Caenorhabditis elegans: one gene and its partner. The protein of the gene in region 1 interacts with the protein of each later gene in a pairwise test. Each region holds a gene or a part of one and is shown on either strand. Other genes may lie near its edges.

Region 1 (4,760 bases):
TAAAGGTTGAGTAGCGCCGGAATGGTTAAAAACCACTCCTATAGGCATATATGCAAAAGTGAACAAACATCATAATAACACGTTTCAAAAACATTTTATCGACAGTAAAAACATTTATTGAGAGACATTTACCGAGTTTTTACCATTTTTGAAAAAAAAACTATAGCACTATCGTTTGTTCGAATTCTTATATTGTTCGAATACAAATATCGTTATTTTTCGGATAATTTGGATTTACTAATTCACTTATTTAAGAAAAATCCATTTTCAGAATAAAAAGCTGCAAAACTTCGATCGAAACTGAAATCACACTGCAAACTGCTAAGCGGAATTCGGAGTCTCGTTTGGCCACGCCCACTCTGTTCTTTGCACTTTTAATGAATTCAACTTTCTAGAAAAAATTGTTCAGATTTGTCTTTTGAAATTTTGTTTTTAAAAATAAAGAATACAAAACTTCAAAGTTTGAAACAAAATCATACTTTCTGATCTCTGGTGAGTTGGCCAGACGTCACAATTTTGAATGCGCACTTCGAACGAGACTGGATAATTCAAAAAGATTGAAAATGGAAAATGGATAGCTTTCTACGAATGGAAAACATTTCATAAATTGTATTTAACGTTTTTTCAATTTCTCCTGAAGCTTTGCTTTTGTTTTAGAATTAATTCTTAATTTGTCTTCATGAAAAATATGGAGAAAAGAATTCATTTGTGGGTGACTTTACAGAGCATACCAGTAGAAATACACTAGTAGAAAAGCAGAAAAATGAATTTTTAATCGGCAGCTGGCAATCCACACATCGAGCAATCCTGTCTTGCTGCTTCATTTTGGAATGTACAGTGTCCACAGTTCCACACAGCTCCTCCTGATCCACCACTGCTTGATCCGGAGAAAGGATCACCATTTGGAATGACAGGAATATCTGAAACTATGAGAAATCGATTAAAATATTCTTTGTAAAATCGGAGAAGCAATCATTTTCAAAATTGTTGTTAATCACACTAAAATAATAGCTTACCGTCATTGCCGCTTCCTCCATTAGCATGCGCTAAAGCCATCAACTGATGCCAATCTTCACATTCCTGAGCCCATTCCATTGCAGTTCCTCTGTCCTGAGCTTTAACTGCATCACACAATCGTTTCATCCATTCATCAGAAATCTGCACTTGGTCATTGGTTACTAAATAGAGCAAAAAGTGGAAGTTTGTAGCCTGTTCCAAAAATTGATTTTTAGAGAATTCGGATGAATATTGAATCAAATTTGCACCTCCTTGAAGTTGTCCAATTGCTTGTCGATTTTCAACATTAAATTTGGCACTCTTCGATTTATTAGATGTGCCAACGTGGAACGTGTAGTGAGGCTCTTTTGGCATTCCAGCAGGAACATCCACCAGCAAATATTCAACTGGAAGTGGTCGTCCGTTTTTCATAACCTCGGCTCCGTATTCATTTTTCATCGAAAATTGAACATCAGTTATATAATGTTCTTCGGATAATGGTGTCTCTCGAACATAAGCCAATTCAGGAGTGTACAGTGTTGGACAGAGAATATCAGCTTCAACCATGGCCGCACATTGATTTGAAACTTGATATCCGTGGAAATTAACATGCATCGATTCATCACCAGATGCAACAACGGTCACAAATTTGGATCCATAGTGACGATCCATCGAGTACTCTGTGATGTTTGGATGTTGATTTTGAAGCATTGCTGCGGTGATGCATTCCTCAGCTGATAGGAAGAAGGAATCCTGAAAAATTATTCGTTTTTTGGGCTTCTCTTCGAGATTGTTCTCACCTTGTGCCGTGTATAATGTACAGTTCCTTCAGCACTATTAGCTGTCCAACAATCTGTGAAGATCCATCCAACACGTTGCAAGCCAAGCATTTCCAGCAAATTGTCAATAGTTTTTTGATTTTTATCCTCCAAAAACTCAATTCCATCTTCACGGCAGTGTTGTGGAGGTTCATAAATTGCAGCCACTGTAGCCTGAAAGTATGAGCAATGAAATAACTCGTCTCAAGAAATGAGTGATGAAGTACTGAACTTACCTTGATTCCTAGTGGAACTTCAAGGTGAGGCTGATACTGTCCAATTAAAAATCCAACACGCTGATGGCCCGATAGTCTCCAATAATCCAAAAACTGATTTACAAGCTCTTGATTTTCAATTTGAATGTTATCAACATGACGAAACTTTTGACGATTCAATGTTACAACCTGTGGTTTGCATTTAGTGCAAATTCCTTTCGGGAACGGCTTGTGAGCATCACAGTTGGGTTTTAATGAACATCGAAAGTTTTCCAGCGGTTTTTTGAGAGTCGTGCCCTTCCCCTGGGATCCAAGGAGCTTGCGAACATGTGCATGGAAGCTCATATGCTTGATATCTTTTTCTTTCAAATATTCTTCATCGAATGGCTGTAAATATTGATATTAGTTTCTATGAAAACAACAGAAAATATCACTTACATCAACAGGCAAACAATTAGTGCACTTTTGACGTACAGGATGCCGACAGTTGGGCCCTTTTGGACGCTGAATTTGACCATCTTGCGTGCTTAAAAAAACATCAACGTCGTTGACACGCTCAGTTTGAGGGACTTCAAGTACCATATCTGAAATAAAATAGATTTTTAAATGCAGGAAGATATGCCTTCTAGGTAGTGAATTGAAGATATATAATTTTGAGATTTTGCAAAAATAATGCAGCGGAAAGGGTATCAAATTAGTTTCCATACATATTCAAACATTAAACAGCAAATGAAATAAAACATTTTGTTTTTAGAATAAAAAATGTCATCAAAACTGCCTAGACAACATGAATGACGAGCAAATGCGTACACAAAAAACCGTGCGGCACTCTTGCGAAATCCCATGCAACGCTTGCAATTTTCTTTTTTCCATCACATTTTCCAATTCCTTTCATCAAATTTTACAATTAAAAAAATGTTTTCTCTTAATTTTAGCGTACCTTTTCGAATTTAGTTTGACATTTAAATAATATCAATATAAAAACCTTCTTTCAGTAATGTCTCGACGCGTGGAATTCGATTTATCCACTGAAGATCACTCTGATCGTCGTCGCACCAACACCTTTTCTTGTAAGTTCACAGAATGCTATTTTTCAGAATTGATGAATAAGAGTAAAATGAGTTGAAAAATGTTAAAATTTGAAACAGTTCGAAAAGACTGAAGACTCGGTCCTTTTTTGATTAACCGATTTATTTTAATTCGGCAAACAGACATTTGGAGAATTTGGTCTGAAATAATTTTGCATAAAAACTGCAGATTAACATTCCATGAGCAAAATACATAAAATTCAGAAAAACCAAATTTTCCAAATACTGTTACAGTGAAGAATCAATGCCAATTCTCAGAACTCCCTCATTGTATATGAAAATGACTACTTTTGTCATTTTCAGTGTTTTTCGGTGTCGAATATCCTCAAATCTCAGATTAAATGAATCACAGCTTTATTCATTTGAAAGAAATAATAAATGAAAAGGTGTTCATAAGAGTTCATAAGAAGTTAATCATTTAAAAGCCCGAGAGAGAAGTTGAGTATCAGAGGATCAATGATCGTGCATTGTGAAATCTTTTCAAAAGAAAAATTGATAATCAATCAATAGAGTAATTCTATAAACATATTTATGGTAGTTATTTAGGTGCTTGTTAACAACACAAACTTATCTCATTTCTTAATTTTTAACAGCTTCAGCCGATGAGGATGGAGTTCCAAATGAGGTCGCCGACTACCTGGTCTACTTTTCCCGCATGGTTGACGAACAAAATGTGCCGGAAATTTTGACTCTCTACGATCAAGCTTTTCCAGATCTCACCGAGAGGTAATATTTAATAATCTCAAATTGTTTTCTATTTATCTTTTAATTTCAGATTCTTCCGTGATCGCATGTGGCCCGATGAGAATGTTGTCGAAAGAATTATTATACAGTATTGAAATAGTTAAAATCAGTTCCTAAAGTGCTAAAATATCACAGTAATAGTTTCCAAAACTGTTCAAAATCACTTTAAAAGTACACACCTTGAACTAATTGGCAATTTACCAAATTTTGGCAAAATGTCAAAACTTTGGCAGAATGCCAAAACTTAAAACATAATTTTTCCACGGTATGGAAATAGTTGAAATCGGTTTCTCAAGTGCTCAAATATTATAGTAAAAGTTTCCAAAACTGCTCGAAATCACTTTGAAAATATACATTTTCGATGATTTGGCAATTTACCAAATTTTGGCAAAATGCCAAAACTTCGACAATTTGCCACAGTCTCTCGAGATTCTGAGCAACCACGACCATTTACGCAATTATATATTCGTTCTATGGAAAAATTATTTTTAAATTCTTGTGATTATCACCGTCACCTCTTATTCGGCCTTCACGTAATCTCAGAAGAACTCACAATATTTTTAATTTTTATGGATTTTATTATACACGTCTCTACAACTCACATTTCTTCTCATTTCTCACTTTAGAAGAGAACTAGCCTAGTGCTAATTTTGTTTAATAGAAGATGTGCTCACGAGACGATGTAATTATTGGACAAGGTGATATTGAAGAGAAGAATTCAATGCGATCAATTCACGAGTATGGCTCACTGGAGATAGAAGTAGAGTTTAAGAAAATTAATTTACAAATGTAATAGCCACGGTCTCTCTCAATTTTATCTATTTCAATTGAGAGAGTCTATCACATTATTTGATTTAGTTTTTTTGAAATTAAGAGACCGTTTTTCTATATTATTTTTT
Region 2 (4,953 bases), on another chromosome or scaffold:
TTTGGAGTCTCGAATCCGGTGAAGATCTCGAGCGGTTCGATGCATTGGACAACCATCAGAGAGTTGGTATGGGCGATTGCGCTGAGGATGTTGTTGCTGGCAAGCTGAACGAAGCCCTGAAAAGTCAGAATTTAGAGCGGTCACCATTAGCTAGAATGACTTACAGTCATCTGAACCGGCATCGCTGCCACCTGATTCGGAATTTTCATTGGCGTCGATCTCGCCGCTGGCAGCTTCGTTCCAGCATTGTTTCTTCTACCGAACCCCGCTCCCTCGGCACGTGGCTCATCCTTCTTTGAATCCTGCTCAACCTCCTCAGGTGACTTCACCGCGGACGTTAAGCTAATTGCTTTCAATGGTAGCTGTCCCGGTTGAATATTCATTTTCTGAAAAAATTATGCGGGTTTTGAGGGAAAACCAAGAGAAATAAGAAAACTCACATAGAAAAGTGTTGGTCACAAGTCGGAAATAAATTAATTTTGAAAATCTGATCTGATTGTACTATGTGGAACTTCACGTCAGATTTAAATTTCTGTTGGAAAAAAATAGGAAATTATCTGCGGAATTGTTGTCTGCTGCACGTGTATTAGTTATCGCAATTTTAACAAGTCATTTGTGCCCAGAAAACGCAATCTTTTGCTGAGAAATTATCAGCTAGTAGGTATAGTAAGAAGAAGCCAGAAAAAACTAGTTTATTCTAGTTTGCAAGTGAATTTGTGAACAGGATCCTTTATAAGTTTAGAAGCTGCTATGCATTCCGCTATGCATTCCGCCGTTACGATGTTGATCCTGGTTACGATCCTCGAAGTAGGTGAAGTCGATCAGGAAAACCGAGGTGACAAGCAGAAGCTTCAAGATTGGCGGCATGTCCATTGGGACTGAAATATTCCAAAATTAAGATAGAAAAGATCAGAAGCTTAGAATAAAATGCTTACAATGAACAATATAGGTGTCCGCATCGGTGAACATCTCCTGCATGAATCCCGGGTAGAGGCGGACAATTTCTCCGACGAGCACACCATTGAAGGTCATCACTGGGAACTTCTGGGTGCCACCACAGCCTGCACAACCTGGAGATTGGATGAGCAGGGGCTGGTTGCAGCCGGATCCGACGAGCTCGAACTGAAAGAAAAGGTTAATAGGATGTGTCTCAAGGAGGATGGGAGATTCAGGTGAAGAGCTAATAAAGCTTCAGCCTATAGGAACGATTGCTCTGATCAGGGGTGTGCGGCAAGTTTGGCGAATTTGGCGAATTTGCCGCGTTAAAAATTCAGTAGTTTTGGTGCTTCAAAAAACATCAAATTTTTCGGAGTTAGTTGAGCTCGGCAAATTTGCCGAGTTTGCCCTTGTACAAGGTGTCATGCTAGTCCCGATGTTGCCGTTCAGCGGTATATAGATATAGATCTATAGATCTACGTATAGTGCAATTGTATAGTGCAATTTATATCTGTAACTTGGTACATTGGTGACGTACGGTCCTTCCGCCTTGCTCTGTGTTTCTCTCTTTTAGTGTGTCAATGCCTAGCCGCTGGGCGGCAGAGCAAAGGCGTGAAACCTGTACGTCTATGTACCAAGTAATAGGCTTTCTAGATAAACATCTTAATACTGAAAGACATTTGGACAGTCTAGTAACCTATAGTCTATATCTATGTCAGTACAAACTTGGCACATTGCAACCTACAGTCCTTCCGCTTTGCTCTCTTTTGTGTATCAATGTCTTGCGGCTGGGCGGCAGAGCAAAGCGGAAAGACTCTAGGTTGCTATGTGCCAAGTTACAGATATATTATAGATCGGACTATAGATAGGGCATCAGGGGTGTGCGGCAAATTTGCCGTTTGCCGAGCACTGCAAGTTTCAAAATTTGCCGCACAGCCCTGGCTCTAAGCTCGATCAAGATTGATGCAAACTCAGATCAGCGAAAAGATCTCTTTTGAGAAAAATGTGATTTTTCCAAAGAATGCTTCAGGGCTCTGGATTACTGTAGTTTTACTTGATACTAGCACTCACATTAGGATTGCAGCACTCCTTCTTCATCATCCCAATCTGCTGATCGAGGAACTGGGTGCTCAGAAAATCATCGGTCGAGCAGCATGGTCTTCCTCTGAAGCACGTCATCACCTGAGCTCCGTGGGTATCCATGATCTGCATTCCGAAGTTACGATCGTTTCCTTCGTACTGACGAGCGAAGATGTTCGATCTTTCCATACAATAAAGCAGCGGGCGGCAGTACATGTCATGGACCACGTAGCGATTCGGAGTTTCGAATCCGGTGAAGATCTCGAGGGGTTTGATGCATTGGACAACCATCACAGAGTTGGTATGGGCAATGGCGCTGAGAATGTTGTTGGCGACAAGTTGGACGAAGCCCTGAAAAGTCAAAAGTTAAAACGATCACTATTAGCTAGAATGACTTACAGTCATCTGAACCGGCATCGCTGCTACCTGGTTCGGAATGACCATTGGCGTAGATCTTGCCTCTGGGAGTCTCTTTCCACCACCTCCACCTCCTCCGAATCCTGCAGCCTTGGCACGTGGCTCTCCTTTCTTCGAATCCTGCTCCGGCTCAACCTCCTCAGGTGACTTGGCCGCAGACGTCAAGCTAAGCGATCTCAATGGTTGCTGTCCCGGTTGTTTGTTCATTTTCTGAAAAAATTTTGCGGGTTTTTTGGGGAACACTGACAGATATAAGAAAACTCACATATCAGATCGTTGTTCACTAGTCGAAAATGAATGAATTTCAATCGAAGGGAGTATTGATTTTATTTGTTGTTTCGAAAATTGAATACGTGGGGAAAAGGGATAGGGCAGAAAGGGCAGAAAGTTCATATTCACGTTTGAACTTATCTAATTTATTTAAAAATTTATTTATTTACCCCGTGGCTCCAAATTTTCTAGAAACTATGAACAAAAACATCCCGCAGCTCTTCCAAAACTTTCTCGAATTCACCGATCTGAATTTTCGGTACTGAACAAAAACTAATAGATTTTCAATGGTTAAGCAGCCAAACTATATATTCGTTTTGTGGATCTTCAGTGAAACACTGAAGATGACTTTGCAGCATGAAACCTGAAACCAGTGGCTCCTGGCAACCAGCACAATAAATTTGGAGCTCGAAATCAGTACTTGAACAAGCAGTGATAACTTGTCAAGCGTTCGCTGAGTCTCAAAGTTATCAACTAGAAGAATGCACATCGACATGTAAATTCTTCCATACAGGATAGTGTGGCAGAATTTTAATTTCTGCAAAATTACTTTGAAACAAATTTTTATCAATCTCCCAGACTAAAAAACTTTTGAAGTGTTATCTGTTGAAATGTGTAAGCTATTGGAATGTTCAAATGTTTATTCAAATGAATTGCAAAACTTGGCATTTAGTCAGCATATGGTGGCCAGTAGTCAATATCGCTGAAAAAAGTTATTTTTCTGATGAACTAGCACTAACATTATCTTACATCGCAGCGTATTGTCTAATTTGGAGTTTGATTGGCGTATTGTCAGAATATGAGTACTCAAGTTTCATGTTGTAGATAGCAGCATCGAGGTTTCCATAGCCTGCTCGAATTGTGCTATTTTTCTGAAATAGCTAACGTATATTCCCTGTTAGTGAGGCATAGGATTACTGGAGCCTGCTCTCGAAATTTATTGTCTTATCAAACAGTTACTGAAGTTATAAAACGGCCACAGTCCCCAGCTTGGGTGTGGCTTAAATTACCGCCCAGTAGGATCACCACCAGGTATTACAAAAACAAACTTCGACCAGAAAACAAAAAAATTTTTGGTCGAACTTTGGACCAAAAAACAAGAAACAAAAAATCGAAATTTTCAAAAAAACCAACAAAAAAAAACTAAAAAAAACAAAAAACAAAAAAAATTTCACGGTTTGATATCAAACGGGACAAAACAGGAATTTTTCATGAAATATTAAAAATTGAACACACGAACGATTGAACAAGGTTTTTTGTTCTCATTTGTTTAATTTTTTGCTGAATCAGTGTTGCAATTTATTTTTTGGTTTTTTTGGTCTCAAAAAACCAAAAAAATCAGTGCACAACGCTTGAAAAACGGATCGACCTTTAATCCTTTAATCATTTAGTCTCTAATCGTGAGGTTATTACTTTCAAAGGTAGTAACCTCAAAAAACGGTATCGTATGAGTACATGTAGGAAACGTTACCTCATTGGATGGGGATCCTGGATATCCATAAAAACCACCATTGGTAGATGATGAAGCATTGTACCAAGAAAGGTAAAATGATTGGAATGTATCAATGGGACCTCAATTTGTAATATTAACAAGTTATGATAATCATATCAAAATTTGTACCATGGTTCTGTACAGTTACTGCAAAGTCGACCCCGGCAAAGAATGTCCCGTTGGGTTTAGTGTGGAACAGTGAAGGCAGTACAATGGAGCCTTTTCCGGACACTACAGGATTCACCGAATAAATGGCTACAGGCCAAAATAGCCCAAAAAAACGAATTTGAGACTGAAATTAATTAAGAGTGAGGAGCGACCTCTGAAATCTTACATCGTTGAATTGATCATCATTTCGAAAATCGGCTAGTCCATTTGTTTTAAATGAGAGGTCATAGAGGGTGAGTGGTTGGGATCCACCTGATGGAGTATTTGATGAAATTACATGAACCATTCCATGATGCGATCGAATTTTGGCTACTAGATTGGAAATATTATTCTCATTTGGGTTTCGTTTCGAGAGAATCACAACAACAGAACCGCAAAGAGAGAATGGTGAATTGTCATAAAATTTCTGAAAATGAAAATATTTTTCTACCAGCCGTTTGGAAACACAAAGCGCGCGCTCCGAGTGGCGTACGCTAAATTGTTTTAAAAATTTGTACAATGATAAGCTTTTTGTACAGTTACATTTTTTCATGTAGTTTTCCGGACGTTCAAGAAATTTTTAGTATCTGACTCATTTTTTCTAGAAATTT

Evidence for each region. The genes of interacting proteins can lie anywhere in the genome.
Region 2: the proteins of npl-4.1 (region 1) and scrm-5 interact in a two-hybrid assay, tested with the Caenorhabditis elegans proteins (one large-scale study listed by BioGRID).

What each region holds. Positions count from the first base shown.
Region 1 is NC_003280.10:5,629,210-5,633,969, reverse strand, and holds npl-4.1 (Nuclear protein localization protein 4 homolog 1), read right to left. Parts: upstream 2,620-4,760; 5' UTR 2,612-2,619; coding exon 2,468-2,611; intron 2,417-2,467; coding exon 2,051-2,416; intron 1,989-2,050; coding exon 1,797-1,988; intron 1,750-1,796; coding exon 1,017-1,749; intron 927-1,016; coding exon 772-926; 3' UTR 686-771; downstream 1-685. Other genes in the region: F59E12.6 (ubiquitinyl hydrolase 1), read left to right, coding at 4,526-4,621. UniProt on the Caenorhabditis elegans protein: In association with ufd-1 and ATPase cdc-48.1 and/or cdc-48.2, involved in the cytoplasmic elimination of misfolded proteins exported from the ER.
Region 2 is NC_003282.8:4,160,209-4,165,161, reverse strand, and holds scrm-5 (Phospholipid scramblase), read right to left. Parts: upstream 2,742-4,953; 5' UTR 2,699-2,741; intron 2,644-2,698; 5' UTR 2,641-2,643; coding exon 2,416-2,640; intron 2,368-2,415; coding exon 2,008-2,367; intron 1,123-2,007; coding exon 936-1,122; intron 879-935; coding exon 739-878; 3' UTR 682-738; downstream 1-681. Other genes in the region: scrm-8 (Phospholipid scramblase), read right to left, coding at 1-116, 165-383.